2 linked regions of the Oryctolagus cuniculus genome follow. The protein of the gene in region 1 interacts with the protein of each later gene in a pairwise test. Links are inferred from orthologs where the notes say so. Each region holds a gene or a part of one and is shown on either strand. Other genes may lie near its edges.

Region 1 (8,032 bases):
GTGCCAGTTAATGCCTGGCTGTTATGCTCAGGCCTCCAGAGGAGGCATGGAGGATGGTGCCACGAGAGAACAAGATGGAGCTCCTCGTACCTGGCCCAGCTACTCCTGCTACCTTGGCCATCTGGGGAGAGATCATTCTCTCCACTGCCCCCTCTCTGACATTCTCCTGTTCCAATAAATGAATCAAAACAAAACAAAACAAACACCTTCAAAGTAACAAACCCCGACCCCATTGCTTTCCTACTGTGGGAGGCCCGTGCCAGGGTGGCTTCAGATCCAGCTCCCACCGCTAGGTAGGTGCGGCCCTTCGTGAGGAACAGTCTGCCAGTTTAGTCCTTTGCATGAGGGAGAATACAAAGCTGTCACACGTCAGTCACACGAGGACCAGACAGCATGAGCAATGATGGCTTATTCTAGTCCCAGCGAGTGAGACAGAGGCAGGGCCAGAGCGCCAGCCTGTCTGGAAGCTGTTCCAGATTTTCAGAGTTTGAGAATCTACCCAAGTGATGTCATTCAATAAACTATGTCTTATGCCAAACATCAGCACCTGAATCTGCAGTAGCGCCAGCACGTACCTGAAGAATGTAGGAGATGGTGTTCTCTGGGCATTGCAGTAAGCATTTGTAAAGTGTTACATTTTTGAAGTCACAGGTTTCTGGCTTTTTTTAATTTTTATTATTTTTTTGGACAGGCAGAGTTAGACAGTGAGAGAGAGAGACAGAGAGAAAGGTCTTCCTTCCATTGGTTCACCCCCAAATGGCCACTACGGCCGGCGCGCTGCGCCGATCCAAAGCCAGGAGCCAGGTCTTCCTCCTGGTCTCCCATGCAGGTGCAGGGCCCAAGCACTTGGGCCATCATCCACTGCCTTCCTGGGCCACAGCAGAGAGCTGGACTGGAAGAGGAGTAACTGGGACAGAACCGGCACCCTGACAGGAACTAGAACCCAGGGTGCCGGTGCCGCAGGCGGAGGATTAGCCAAGTGAGCCGCGGTGCCAGCCAGGTTTCTGGTTTCTACAGCATTTGCATGCCTGCTTTCTGAGCTGGGAAGGGTGTCTGTCGCATCTGTCTGTATTTTGTGTTGTTTATAAACATTTTTATGCCTATAAATATGAGCAATACAGGAGCTGGTGTTGTGGCATAGTGGGTAAAGCTGTTACCTGCAGTGCTGGCATCCCGTGTGGGCACAGGTTTGGGTCCTGGCTGTCGTCACTTCCAGCCCGGCTCCCTGCCAACGCCCTGGGAAAAGAGGCAGAGGGTGGCCTATGTTTCTGGGCCCCTCCCAGCCACGTGGGAGACCTGGATGAAGCTCCCGGCTTTGGATCTGCCCAGCCCAGGATGCTGCAGCTATGTGAGGAGTGAACCAGCGGAGGGAGGACTGAGCTCTCTTTCTCTCTCTGCCTCTATTCTGCCTTTTCAAATAAACAAATCTTTCAAAAAAAGATAGTGTCACTGTGCATAAAATATATGTGCATGGGGGTGAAGGCACAAAATGAAAATGTCTGATACTGCTGCATTATGAGTTATTTGTTTAAAAAGAAAAATATTAAATAATTTGAAGGAAACATGCCATCTTTTAGGTAGATTCTCAAACTCTGCTCATGCTTGGCTTAAAACCTGGAACAGTTTCCAGGCAGGCTGGCGCTCTGGCCCTGCTGCCTCACTCGCTGGGCGAGCAGCTCCTGGCAGGCCGGGCCCACCTGCCTAAGCTCACTAACTCGCCGCTGAACAAGCCGAGTCAGGAAGGCAAGAGAAGTGGAGACAGCAGGAAAGGAAGGCTGGCGACACACTAGAAGGGCGAACACGAAGTCAGCACAGCTGGCTGCGACCTGCGGCAGCCCCCGGCCCTCTGCTCCCCAGGGCTGCTCTGCACCAAGGGGCGCAAAGGCAAGCCTAACTTCTGGTGAAACAACTCAGTGAATGCCGTCTTCTCCTTAACCACACCACCCCAGCTACAAAGTCCGTCCTGAAGGCCAAGATGGAACTGAAAACTCCTCCCAGAGCACAGTGCATTGTTCCCGTCCGCGTGGAGCCGGTGCAGACGCACAGAAGGGTGGCTCCTACCATGAGGTGTGGAAACTTCTACTTGACACAAACCTGCTACAGCAGACTTTTTAGAGCGCACCCCCGTGTCTATGAAAAACAACCACCTTGACTGTAACATTCTCTCGGCAGCAGCGCCCGACACAGATGCACCTGTCTCTTGCGTGACTGCTGGGCAGGGCCCCAGGAGCAGCAGGATGCACGGCAGGGCCCAGGTTTGTAGCCGGCTGTCTCCCATCTGCCTGCACAAGCACATCTAGGACGTCTGCACAAGGATGAAACTGCCTAACAACACGTTTCTCAGAACATCCCTGTCATGGGAGTCATACATGAATGCATGAGTCAGAAGATTATGCAAATCCCAAAACATTCAAGATTAAAAAAAATCACATGACCTGCCCAGAAAAATAAATAGTAATTTCTAATCTTCACCTACAGCAAAAACATCATCTCTGCTGCCCTCCGATCGCCCCCTTGTGCTGTGCGTCACTTTCTTTTCTTCTCCCTCTCTGCATCAGGCGTTGGAGAAGGCAGGCAGCTCAGAATATCAAGAAAGCCTCTGAGCATGGCTGCAGGTGCCTAGCTGTCAGAGATGCACACTCGAAGCCATCTGCATTCTTAAATTACAACATCATACGTTCACATACTTTGGTGTTTAATCAAGGAGTACCTTTGAGAACTGGCCCTGTAACATCATTTTCTGAGTTATATACGAATGAGAATCAAAGAATAAGCTGACAGAGTTAGATCTTCAATGTTCAAAGGTACTACTTAAGTCACAGATTTCTTCACCTTGCTCAGCATAAAATTTTAACAAGAAAACCAAAATCGATGGTTGAAACATTCATATTCCCCAATATCCTCTAAAACAATTCCTCAAAGTAGGGCCAGGGGCCCCTGGGTAGTGCAGGATCCTTCCTGGGGTCTGTGAGGTCAACACTATTTTTATAATACTACTAAGCTTTCCCTTCTTCCTCACTTTCATTCCCTCATAACTACACAGTGGGCTTTCCCAGAGGCTATGTGATCTCACAACTGAACGCAGAAGTAGGAACCAGAGTCCAGCTGATCGTCTATGGAGCCAAGCAGGGGCTGGTAGCATGGCCCAGCAGGTTAAGCCACCACTGGCATCCCAGATGGGTGCTGGTTCCAGTCATGGCTGCTCCACTTCCAATCCAGCTCCTTGGGAATGCGCCTGGCAAAGTAGCAGAGAGACTTGGACTCTTCCCACCCACAAGGGAACCCAGATGAAGTTCCAAGCTCCTGTTTTCAGCCTGGCCCAGCCTTGGCTGCTGTAGCCATTTGGGGAATGAACCACCAGTGGATGAAAGATCCGTCTCTCTCTCTCAATCTCTCCCTCTCCTAACTCTGCCTTTCAAACAAGTAAATCTTTTTAAAAAGATGTGCAAAAATATGAAACAATGCTGCTGCTCTTTTATTTTGGGGGAAGATCATTACATATTGGTGGTTTAATGGATTTAGTTTGGGATGAATTAAAGATTTTAGAATTTTAACTTTTTCTTAATTTTTGTTTATTCACTTATTTGAGTGGCAGACAGAACTCCGATCTGCTGGTTCACTCCTCAAATGCCCACAATGGCCAGGGTTGGGCCAGGCCAAAGCCCAGCCACGAACTCCATCCAGGTCTCCCACATGGGTACAAGGACTCAGCTCCTTCAGTACACCCGCTGCTGCCTCCCACAGTACACATCTGCAGGAAGCTGGGGCTGGGAGCACAGCCAGGATTCAAATTCTTTTTTTTTTTTTTTGACAGGCAGAGTGAACAGTGAGAGAGAGAGAGAGAAAGGTCTTCCTTTTCCGTTGGTTCATCTCCAATGAAGATCTGAAGCCAGGAGCCAGGTGCTCCGCCTGGTCTCCCATGCGGGTGCAGGGCCCAAGCACTTGGGCCATCCTCCACTGCCTTCCCAGGCCACAGCAGAGAGCTGGACAGGAAGAGGGGCAACCGGGACAGAATCCGGCGCTCCAACCTGGACTAGAACCCGGGGTGCCGGTGCCGCAGGCCAAATTCACTCTTCAACACGAGACACAGGTGTCTTAACCACTAGGGCAAATACCCATCACAAGTTTTAATTTCTAATGCGGTATCAATAAATGTAAACCATTTAACAAAAACTCTTTGGGAATCAATTTTTAGAGGTTTCAGACACCAAAATATTTGAGAATCACTGCCCTAAAGTATGCTCAGAACATAACAAAGAAGTACTGAGTTTCCCAAAGGGATCATTCTAGTCTCCTAAAATAATAAAGAACCCAAGTGTTAAGTTTTTTCTTCCTGATACTAGAGAAAAGTTCTACAGAGTTACACAGTGATCAAAATCTTTAATTTGGAAAAACTAGTAATACTTTACAAATGAATTTGATAAGCGTATTCTATCTGATGCTGTACACTGGAGATACATACTTCAGAGAAAGATCTACACGGGGGAGACTGTTAAGTACAGTCTAGGGCCAGCACTGTGGCACAGTAGGTTAAGCCACGGCCTGCAATGCCAGCGTCCCATACTGGAACCAGTTCTAGTCCCAGCTGCCTGCTAATGCTCCTGGGAGAGCAGTGGAAGAGGGCCCAAGTGCTTGAGTCCCTGCCATCAATGTGGGAGACTCAGCTGAGGTTCCTGGCTTTGGCCTCCACAGCGCTGGCTGTTGTGGGTATTTGGGGAGTGACCCAGCAGATGGAAGATTTCTCGTTTCGTTGTTCTTTTTTTAAGATACATTTATTTATTTGAAAGGGAGAGTCACAGAGAGGCGAGAGGGGGAGAAGAGGGGAAGGGGGAGGTCTTCCATCCGCTGGTTCACCCTCAAATTGGCTGCAATGGCCGAAGATGTGCCGATCCAAGGCCAGGAGCCTCTTCCAGCTCTCCCATGGGGGTGCAGGGGCCCAAGCACTTGGGCCATCTTCCGCTGCTTTCCCAGGCCACAGCAGAGAGCTGGATCAGAAGTGGAGCAGCTGGGACACAAACCAACACCCAAATGGGATGTCAGCACTGCAGGCGGCGGCCTTAGCCGCTACATCACCCTATAGGACCCTCTTGTTTCTAATTCTGCCTTTCAAATAAACAGATCTTTAAAAAAAACAACAGTTTGACCTTAAGGAAATTTCCTGATACATGAATATCTGATTTGCCCTTTTAAACGACAAACTATTTCATTAATTCTTTTTCATTTGGCACAGAACGCACAGCTCAGCCTTTCTTTGATAGCTCAGCTTCACCATTAGAAACAGCAGCTGTTGTGCTAAACTGAACGTGGTGATTACACCCCCCCCCCCAGCCGAGAGCAGACGCGGGGGGGCAGCCCCCCCCCCCCTTAGGCCGAGGGCACCGGCGGGCGCTCCCCGCTCTCCTGACCTCGGCTCAGGTGCCGTGCGTGCCCTTTCCTCCCATTCCCTGTGCCTCAGGATCACAACACCTGTCACCCACTCCTAGTTTTTGCTTCTTTTGTAACAAATCGACTTTTAAAGGGTTATAACTTCTCTACAGCTACCTGCATGCTGACTTACGTTAGGAGGAAACTCCTGATGCCCGAACAACACTCAAATCGTGGGAACTGTTCACATCTCACCTGACCTGATCACGCCCATCCAGCCAGAAGACGGCAGCGTGTCTTTTCGCCTATTCTAATCCCCACATACACAGACACCAGGCATGCCATCTCAGCGTGCGCTCCACGGCAGAGGAAGCACTGAATGTGGTGACTGACTACCTCTCCCCGCCTCGGCCACGGAAGACGCACTAACCATTTTTACTAAAATTATACAAATACCTCAAATGTGTAGCTTTACCAGTACACTCAGAGTTCTACTAACTATACCAGTTTACAGCTGAGAAAATAAAACTAAGAATTAAAGGGTCCACAACACTGATAAGTAACGGAACAGGATTTAGTTTTTTTTTGGTTGGGTCAAATGCTCCTTCCAGTGGAGCACAGCTTCGACCCCTCAAGCCGGCCCTCTCACAGGGGACAGGGAGCGGCCGGCCCAAGACCACAGCAAGAGCTGCTAGCACATCCCGACGTCCTCACACGAGCGTGCTCCTGTTCCTCTGACGCCTTCCGCTCTTGCCGGGGAAACACTCACCTTCAACATCTTCTTGTTCGCTGTGTTCTTGCCACACTCCCTCCTCAGCTGTTCACTCATGGCTTGCAGCTCTCTTCCAAAGTGGATCATTCTTTCAATGGCAGCCTGACTTCCGCCACATAACTGGCGTCTTAACTGGTTTGAGTCAACTTCTGCAAACCAAACAAAGAAGTGCTTCACTACTTTATGGAATGGAACACACGTAAGAAATGAACACACATTTCTGATCCATTTTAGACCTCCCAGTCAGTAAGCACTCCCCAACATGTCACCTACACACACAGACTCGTGCTCAACCGAGCAGGGAACTCTGCAGCTAATCATCACACTGGATCCAGAGCTCGGGAGTCTGGGATCCAGGGTGCTGCGCGCAGCCCAGAGGCAGGGCTACCCGTGCAGTGTCAGGATGGACCCAGTGTCTCACGAGTGTCACCAAGAGGCAGGGGCCAGTCTCTAAAACCACATGAAGAGGGGCCGGCGCTGTGCCATGGTAGGCTAGGCATCCATCTGTATGCTGCCAGCTCGAATCCCGGCTGCTCCTCTTCTGATCCAGCTCCCTGCTCGTGGTCTAGGAAAGCAGCGGAGGATGGCCCAGGTGCTTGGGCCCCTGCACCCACGTGGGAGATCTGGAGGAAGCTCCTGGCTTCAGATCGGCTCAGCTCCAGCCATTATGGCCATTTGGGGAAGTGGACCAGAGGATAGAAAACCTCTCTGTCTCTCCCTCTCTCTATAACTCTGCCTCTCAAGTAAATAAGTAAATCTTAAAATAAAAATTAAAAAATAAAACCACACTAAGCAAAATTAACAAAGAAAAAGAGAGAAGGTAGTAACTGCCTCTCAGGCTGTTTTAACTGACATATAACAGAGGTGGAGTAAAGTGTTCCTGGAAGCTAAGAGAGGCTAAATGATTCCAATAGAAACACAGATTATTATAACACATTATAATAATCAAAATAACTATCCTGGTTTTAGAAAAGAATTGTGCTATACATCTTGAGTGACAACTATCACGTCACTGCTCAGCAGTGTGAGTGGAAATCCAGAGTAACACAACTCCCTGCTGTGAAGATGACGGCGGCTGACACTGTGCTTGTTTGCTTTCCACAGGTTAACACACGGATTCACCCTGCACAGTGACCTAAGAGGCAGTTATTATACCCATTTTACAGATGAAGATGCTGAGGCACAGATCAGGTTAAGTGATCTGTCCAAGGTCACAGAGCTAGTAAGTGGAGTTGCAGACACCACTGCAGGTCATCTGCTCTAGAGCTCCTGCTCTCGATGACTCCGCTTAAACTGCCCTGAAGAAGCCGAAGTTGCTGATCTCTCACTGAAAAATGAGGTGAGGCTGCTTTTCAAATAATTTTGGTAAATAAACACCTTTTAATTTCAAAATGCCAAGAAATTCATATTTTCATGGAATTCCAACAAGCAATTTGTAGGTTTCAATAAATTTTCATTATTTTCTGGAAGTTTGCTGAAAGACTTTAAGGCGCAGTTTACTACATAATTTGTCTACAAAATACAAGTTTGCATGCTAGTCTATCTCTGAGTCCTGTGTATTTTTTCTCTGCTGGGGGAGGTCATACGTCAGCACCTAATATACCACACACAGTACTGGGCAGTCACTCATGTTTGCAGTGAACGAGTTAGGAACTGTTTAACAATTTAACTAGAATTTAACAAAAAGTTTAGTAATTTTGAATTTGCAAAATCATTTGACCCACTTGGCCTTACTGACTATATTGAAGTAAGTGTAACAAATTTATCTCTGACCTTAAAACCCTTAAGGCTCAACAGTGATTAGTACAGCTTCATTAAGCATAACCCTAAAATTAAGCCTGAACAGCCAATTCAACAAAGAAAACTGGCACTTGACTTCAGAAGAAATTCAAAAAT
Region 2 (8,032 bases), on another chromosome or scaffold:
CAGAAGCAGAGGAACTGGGATCCAAACCCAGGCATATGGGCTAAGGCATCACAAGCAGCAACTTAACCACTGTGCCAAACACCTGCTCCAATAGTTGATTTTTTTTTTTTTCAGTAAATATGGTGATAAACCAAAGATGCCAACCTGACACACAGGCTTTTAGTTTCACATTTTGCTTACATAACTTTCAAACAAAAATTATCAAGAGATGTTAAAAAGGGGTTGAAAAGCAAATAGACTACAGACCAGTATTAACATTTTTTAACAGAAAAGAAATACAAATTTACCTAAATAGTAGTGTCCTAAATATTAAATGAGCTAATCAGTGGCTATAATTACCTGGAAAGCTTCAATTAACATCCTGCCTGAATACTATAAGATTAACTCCAGGTCAAGAAAAGATATCAGCCAGCGCCGTGGCTCAATAGGCTAATCCTTCGCCTGCGGCGCCGGCCCCCAGAGTTCTAGTCCCAGTTGGTCCTCTTCCTGTCCAGCTCTCTGCTGTGGCCCAGGAGGGCAGTGGAGGATGGCCCGAGTGCTTGGGCCCTGCACCTGCATGGGAGACCAGAAGGAAGCACCAGGCTCCTGGCTTAGGATCAGTGTAGCTCCGGCCATAGCGGCCACTGGGGGGTAAACCAATGGAAAAGGAAAACTTTCTCTATGTCTCTCTCTCTCACTGTCCACTCTGTCAAAAAAAAAAGAAAAGATATTGTGTTCTACAGTTAGAATGCTGCTGAGAAGAGGGAAATGTTGGTAAAAGAGATAAGATTTCAGGGTAAGTGAGTGCTAGAGCTCTACTGTACAGCATACTTGAAAACTGCTCAGAAAGTAGAACTTAAATGCCTCACCACATTAGGCCAGTGCCACGGCTCACTAGGCTAATCCTCTGCCTTGCGGCGCCGGCACACCGGGTTCTAGTCCTGGTCGGGGCACCGGATTCTGTCCCGGTTGCCTCTCTTCCAGGCCAGCTCTCTGCTGTGGCCAGGGGGTACAGTGGAGGATGGCCCAAGTGCTTGGGCCCTGCACCCCACGGGAGACCAGGAGAAGCACCTGGCTCCTGCCATCGGATCAGTGCGGTGCGCCAGCCGAGGTGGCCATTGGAGGGTGAACCAACCTTTCTCTCTATCTGTCTCTCACTGTCCACTCTGCCTGTCAAAAAAAAAAAAAAAAGCCTCACTACAAAAAATGTGTGTTGAAGGATATGTTAATCAGCTTCCCAATGTATGCCTACATCACAAAATTATACTACACATCATAAACATATAAAATTATTATATTCACTAATTAGACTTTAATAAAGTTGGGGGAAATTAAAAATGCACAAGCAAAAATTCACCAAAATAAAATAAAAGGCTAACAGAAAGAGCTGGGAAGGGTTCTAATTTCCACTGCTTATATATCTGAAATAAAAGATCACAGAATTATTAAAGCTACGAAAGACACTGGAGGAACTGGGTGATCCAAACACTAAAGAAACAGTTACTCACTAGCACAGAAGAAGTACATAACCAAGAGTTAAATTTATCCAAAAAATTTGCTTGCTCACAAATTCTTAAATAGAACAGGAAACAGATTTTATTTACAATTATTTAACAAAAGAAATTACAGTTACAAAAGAAAGTAACACACTGGACACCCAACTATTTCCAAGATGGCTTTCCCTCTCTAAGCAATCTTCAATAAGACTTCAGGTATTCCTTCTGCACAACTGAATTACTGCATCAAGATAGAACAGAACGGCTCTTGACAGACTAGCAAACACTCTATTCCACCAAATCAATATGTGAGGTTTGGGCCTTTAAGGTTATCCTTTCATTAAAGTAGTAATGGTCAAACAGCAGTTTACAACACACTAGTAAGTCATGAAATGAATTTAGTGAATATGACCAATATTTCAATAAAAAAAGAAATAATAAAAAGTAACCATAATATACTACCTTAAGAAACATTTCAATATTTTGGTTTTCGTTTTAGAATGCTAAAGTTTTAAAACTAACAACATTTTCTGTAAAGGATCAAATAGCAACCCTTTTGAGCTTAGTGAGTAACTACTGAACTCTTGCAGCTAGTTCTGCCTTTACAGCACAAAATAACCACAGGTAACATAAACAAGCCAACAGAGCAGTGCTCCCATAGTTTTTTATTTTAAACAAAGAGGAGGCCTGCAGGATTTGGTCCATGGGCTATAGTTTCCTGACTGATGATATAAAAAAAAATTTTTCCATTCCTGAATGCTAAAACCTTACCTATTTTTATGAATCGACAAGGGAACATCTGTTCATCAATTTTATGCTTCAAGGTGAATGTTTCTTTGTTATAATCATTCTTTAAGCCACTGAAAGAGAAAAAAAAGTTATTAAATCTGACTTCATAATTAAGAAATACACTAAAATATAGATGTCATACTCAAATTTTCAGTTTAAAACAATGCTCACAATAAATGACTAAGTGGTCCAACATGCAAATAAAGTTAAAACTTTTATATTCTAATGAACTGCATCATAACTATATTCTATTAATTATTTGACAGCTAATGAAAAACACTGAGTATTAACGAGTTGGCAACAGTGCACAGACATGTATTACAGGACCTAGTGTCATTAATGTATAACTGAAGTTTCAGGTGGTAAGAAGAAAAACTAAAAAAAAAAGTCACATTGATAACTGACAACTTAAAAGTCAAATATGAGAATTTGTCTAAGAATTAAATCATTTGTTTCTGAATGGGATGTTAATGTTCCTTTTAAACAAAAATTCAAAGACAAACATGCTTTATCCTAAAGGAACTCACAGCACTACTCCACTTAAACAATTAGAATTGACATATAAACAAGGATACATCATAAGTTAGCAGAAAATGGAATTAAGAGTATTTTGGGGACCAGTGTTGTGGTGTATCAGGTAAAGCCACCGCCTGTAGTGCCAGCAACCCATATGGACGGCCAGTTTGAGTCTCAGCTGCTCCACGTTCGATCCAGCTCTCTGCTATGGCCTGGGAAAGCAGTAAAAGATAGCCCAAGTCCTTGGGCCCCTGCATCTGCGTGGGAGACCCAGAAGCTCCTGGCTCCTGGCTTTGGATCGGCACAGCTCCTGCCACTGCAGTCACCCGGGGAGTGAACCAATGGATGGAAGACCTCTCTTTCTCTCTCTCTGCCCCTGCCTCTGCCTCTCTGTAACTCTGCCTTTCAAATAAATAAATAAATCTTTAAAAAAAAAAAAAAAAGGCAGCTTATTTTGGGGGCCGGCACTGTGGCGCAGCATGTTAAAGCCCTGGCCTGCAGTGTGGGCATCCCATATGGGCACCGGTTTTAGTTTCAGGTGCTCTACTTCCAATCCAGCACCCTCCTAACACACCTGAGAAAGCAGTGGGCCCCTGTACCTACGTGAGAGACCCAAAAAGAGCTCCTGGCTCCAGATCGGCTCAGTTTCGGCCAATGTGGCCATTTGGGGAGTGAACCAATCGATTGAAGACCTCTCTGTCTCTACCTCTCTCTGTAACTCTACCTTTCAAATAAATAAATCTTTAAAAACATTTTGGTGCCAGTAAATTTTTAATTCCTTGCATACAAGGAGTCTTAAAAGTCTTCCTGGAAAATGTATACTGTGATAACATTATGCCTGAATTTTTCTTTTTAATTTTTCACCAAAATAAACTTAGCTTTAAATTATACATTTTCAACTTTTTGAAATCCAACTTTTGAAATGTGAAAGTCACCTTCTGATTATGCCCTAACATACTTCCTGACTAAAATCAATGCAGTATTGGAGTAATATTTACTTAAAGTACTGAGTTAATGGGATCTACCATGTCACAAATATATATTTTTTTAAAGATTTATTTATGTATTTGAAAGTCAGAATTACACACAGAAAGGAGAGGCCTTCCATCCACTGGTTCACTCCCCAACTGGCCACAACAGCAGGAGCTGTGCCGATCCAAAGCCAGGAGCCAGGAGCTTCCACCGGGTCTTCTCGTGGGGGTACAGGGGCCCAAGGACTTGGGCCATCTTCCACTGCTTTCCCAGGCCATGGCAGAGGGCTGCATCAGAAGCCGGGACTCAAACCAGCCAGCACCCACATAAGATGTGCTGGGCAGCTTTACCCGCTACATCACAGTGCTGGCCCCACAAATATATTCTATATCTGCATGGTTTTATTTGCATATTCCACTGCTATATGATTTTTCACTCTCTGAGGGGCAAATTAACACCTTTATTTCTGATGGTTCCTGAGCTCCTCCTCCCTCCTTGCAGCAAGCACTATGTTAAATCATGTAGCTTTTCCATTTACAAGAACTTCCTTTTTTCAGTGCCCCACTTACAATAAACTCTTAGAAGATTACTTCTGGATTACAGCAGTGAACCAACGTTTTGGATAGAGACTATATTTTTATAGCAAAGGTTTTCATTAAAGCTCAAGTCATTAACATTTTAAAAATACAATTGAAAATAAAAAATATCAAAAAATTTTATTCATTTTTGCTTGATAACACTGAGTACCCAGTAGTTTAAAGGGAAAAAAAAAGTTAAGCCACAGTATTAAAAAATAGGAGAAATATTCTTTTCTCTTTTGAAAGAGATGAAACTAGAACTGCAGTTTGTTTAGAAGACAACTTCTCTCCTCACAACCACAACTCACCTAGACAACAGCTCTGTCATATTTTCTTCATTCATTCCACCAAAGACTTTGAATTTCTTCAAGTTGCAGACGTGAGTTTTCTCATATTTTCCAAATGTGATATTCTGAACTATAGCAGGCCTTTCAAGCTTCAGAATCAAATACTAAAAAAAGAAACAACCAAATCATATCTTCCTCTGTTTAAAACAAATAATTAGACAACTCTAAAAGTTAAAACACTTGACAATTAAACAGAAGGTCTATCTGGACCCCTCTCCACTGGAAGATTATTTTTTGAAAAGTAAAGAATAAAACACAAGAGTCCTATAAAGGCTACCACACAATCACCACTTTTTTTTTTTTCAATTTCTTTGTTTTAATTTTCTTTGAAAGGCAGAGAGACATAAACAGTCGAAGAAAGATGGCTCATCTAATGGTTCACTCCCCAAATGCTCTTAACAACCTGAGCTGTCAAGGCAAAACCAGGAAGGAGCCCAGAACTGAATCCAGGTCTCCCGTGTGGGTGGCAGGGACCCAAGTACTTAAGCTATTACTTAAGCTATTCGAAGGTGCCCATTAGCAGGAAGCCGTACTGGAAGCAAGGATTGAACCAGGTACTCCAACTCGGGATGCAGGAGTCTGAAATGGTGACCTAACTAATATACCAAACAACTCACCCATTTGTTTAATCTAGTAAATCCCAGAAACTGTATCATCCTGAATACTGCAGATTAAAGGTGAGGAAAAATTTCTTTTTTTTTTTTTATTTGACAGGTAGAGTTATAGACAGTGAGAGAGAGAGACAGAGAGAAAGGTCTTCCTTCCGTTGGTTCACCCCCTAAATGGCCACTACGGCCAGTGCAGTGCCGATCTGAATCCAGGAGCCAGGTGCCTCCTCCTGGTCTCCCATGCGGGTACAGGGCCCAAGCACCTGGGCCATCCTCCACTGCCTTCCTGGGCCACAGCAGAGAGCTGGACTGCAAGAGGAGCAACCGGGACTAGAACCCAGCACCCATATGGGATGCCAGTGCTGCAGGCGGAGGATTAACCAAGTGAGAATTTCTAACCACAGAACAGTATTCAATAAGTAAGTAACATAGCCAAGGAATTAATTATCAAATAAAGCAAGATTAGAATGCAAAAATAACAAGTTCATGTTCCCATGAACTACACTTCAATAACTAAATCAATGCTCTAAGCCAGTGACAAAACCTAAAACCTACAAATAAACTTCAAGAGTTACTAACCACCCCTGACAATTTTACAAATTAAACAATCCAGACCTACTATAGATGTCTAATGTAGCTCAAGTTTCCCTACCACACACTGGATAAAACAGGATCAGTTAATTAGGGAAAACATTTTACATTAGCAGACAGTTTTCAATTAAAAGCTTAAGCAGGAAATTACCACTGATTGACTACGTGAGGATAAAGCTACCCAGAAAACCAACTGAGACGTCTGTTGCAGAGATTTCATGTTTCATAATGCTAATGGGTACTGCAGGTGATAACAGTCAGCGGTCCTACACCTATTCCCATGCACAAAAACTAACTCAAAATGAATCAAAACTGAGCCAAGACCAACATCCTAAACATAAGCACTAAAACTTCAAAACCAATAGCAGAAAGACAATTGACTCAATTTAAAAATAGACAAAAGACATGAATAGCTCTTTCTCTAAAGAAGATTAAACATCATGGGACCAGCATTGTGGAGTAAGCTGTCACCTGCAACACTAGCATTCCATATGGGCACCAGTTCAAGACCTGGCTGTTGAGCTTCCAATCCAGCTGCTTGCTAATTAAATTTTCTATTCTGGCCCAGCTGCTTGCTAATGCAACTAGGAAAGCAGCAGCAAATGACCCAAGTTCTTCGGCCCCTGAACCCATGTGGGAGACCTGGATGAAGCTTCTGGCTTCGGCCTAGCCCAGCCCAGGCTGCTGTGGCCTTTTGGGGAGTGAACCACCAGATGGAAGATCCCTCTGTATCTCCCTCTCTCGCCCTCTAACCTTGCCTTCCAAATAAATAAAATAAATTTTAAAAGGGGGAGAGGGCAGCTTGGCAATGTGGTATAACGAGTAAAGCTATCACCCACAATACCAGCGTCCCATATGGTGGGCAACAGCTTGAGCCCCAGCTGCTCCACTTCTGATCCAGCTCCCTGCTAATGTGTCTGGGAAAGCAGCGGAAGATGGACCAAGTGCTTGGGCTCCTGCACCCATTTGGCAGACCCAGATGAAGCTCCTGACTCCTGGGTTTGGCCTGGCCCAGCCCTAGCTGTTGTGGCCATTTGGAGAGTGAACCACTGAATGGAAGATCTCTCTCTCTCTTCCCCTCCCCACTCCTCCAACTCTGCCTTTCAAAATAAATAAAATAAATTTTTTTAAAAAATTAAACATCATGAAAAGATGTGTTCAACATTGATCATCAGGGAAAGCCAAATCAAAACCACAATGAAATATCACTCTCAACACACATACACACACACACATACACAGAGAGACAGAGAAAGAGAGACAAAGACAGAGAAAGAGCAAAATAACAAGTATTGGCATGTTGAGGACAAAGTGGACCTCTCAAACATTGCTGATAGAAATGTTAAAATTATAAACATTGTGGGTAATTTAGCAATTCCTCAAAAAGTTAAACAGAATTACTACATGATCAAGAAGGTCTACTCCAAGCATATACCCAAAAGAAATTAAAAAAAAAAAAGTATTTGAACGAACACATGATGTATATGAATGTCAAGAGTAGTACTATTCGTAATAGCCAAAAAGTCTACACAACACAACCCAAATATACATCTACTAATGACTAACCAAACAAACCACAAAACATAGTATTATTCAGCAACAGGAAAGAATGAAGTACTGTTTAATGCTACAACATGGATTAACCACAAAAACATACTAAAGTGAAAAGTCAGACGCACAGGTCATGCTATATGACTATGTTTATATGAAATAACAATAATACATAAATCTAGAGGCAGAATGTATATTATTGCCAAGAGCAAGGCCGAAGTAGAAAAGGAGAAACTGCTTAATGGATACGAGGCTTTCTTGTGGCTAAGAAAAATACCTGATCACTAGATAGAGGTGACAGTAGCACAACACTATAAATGCACTAAATGCTGCTGAAACATACTTTTAAATGGTCACTTTTATATGAATTTTACCTTAAAAAATGCTTTCAAATAAAAAGTCTGAAATCAAGGTGATAGCAGTGCCAGGCTCCCTCCAAAGGATCTATGGAAGGGTCCTCTGGGGTTTTCCAGGATCTCATGGCTTCTGGTGTTTCCTGGCTGGTGGCCACAGAACTCCAACCTCTGCCTCTGTCTTCAAGTGGCCTTCTTCCTGTGTCCGTCTTTCCCTTCTAGGTATCTACTGAGGACACCTGTCACCTTAAC

Evidence for each region.
Region 2: the proteins of RANBP9 (region 1) and MKLN1 interact in a two-hybrid assay, tested with the Homo sapiens proteins (2 studies listed by BioGRID). The link is inferred for Oryctolagus cuniculus from reciprocal best matches to the Homo sapiens genes RANBP9 and MKLN1.

What each region holds. Positions count from the first base shown.
Region 1 is NC_091436.1:157,008,445-157,016,476, reverse strand, and holds part of RANBP9 (ran-binding protein 9), read right to left. Parts: intron 6,286-8,032; coding exon 6,134-6,285; intron 1-6,133. UniProt on the Homo sapiens protein: May act as scaffolding protein, and as adapter protein to couple membrane receptors to intracellular signaling pathways. Acts as a mediator of cell spreading and actin cytoskeleton rearrangement.
Region 2 is NC_091434.1:167,390,072-167,398,103, reverse strand, and holds part of MKLN1 (muskelin), read right to left. Parts: intron 4,782-8,032; coding exon 4,639-4,781; intron 2,336-4,638; coding exon 2,247-2,335; intron 1-2,246. UniProt on the Homo sapiens protein: Component of the CTLH E3 ubiquitin-protein ligase complex that selectively accepts ubiquitin from UBE2H and mediates ubiquitination and subsequent proteasomal degradation of the transcription factor HBP1.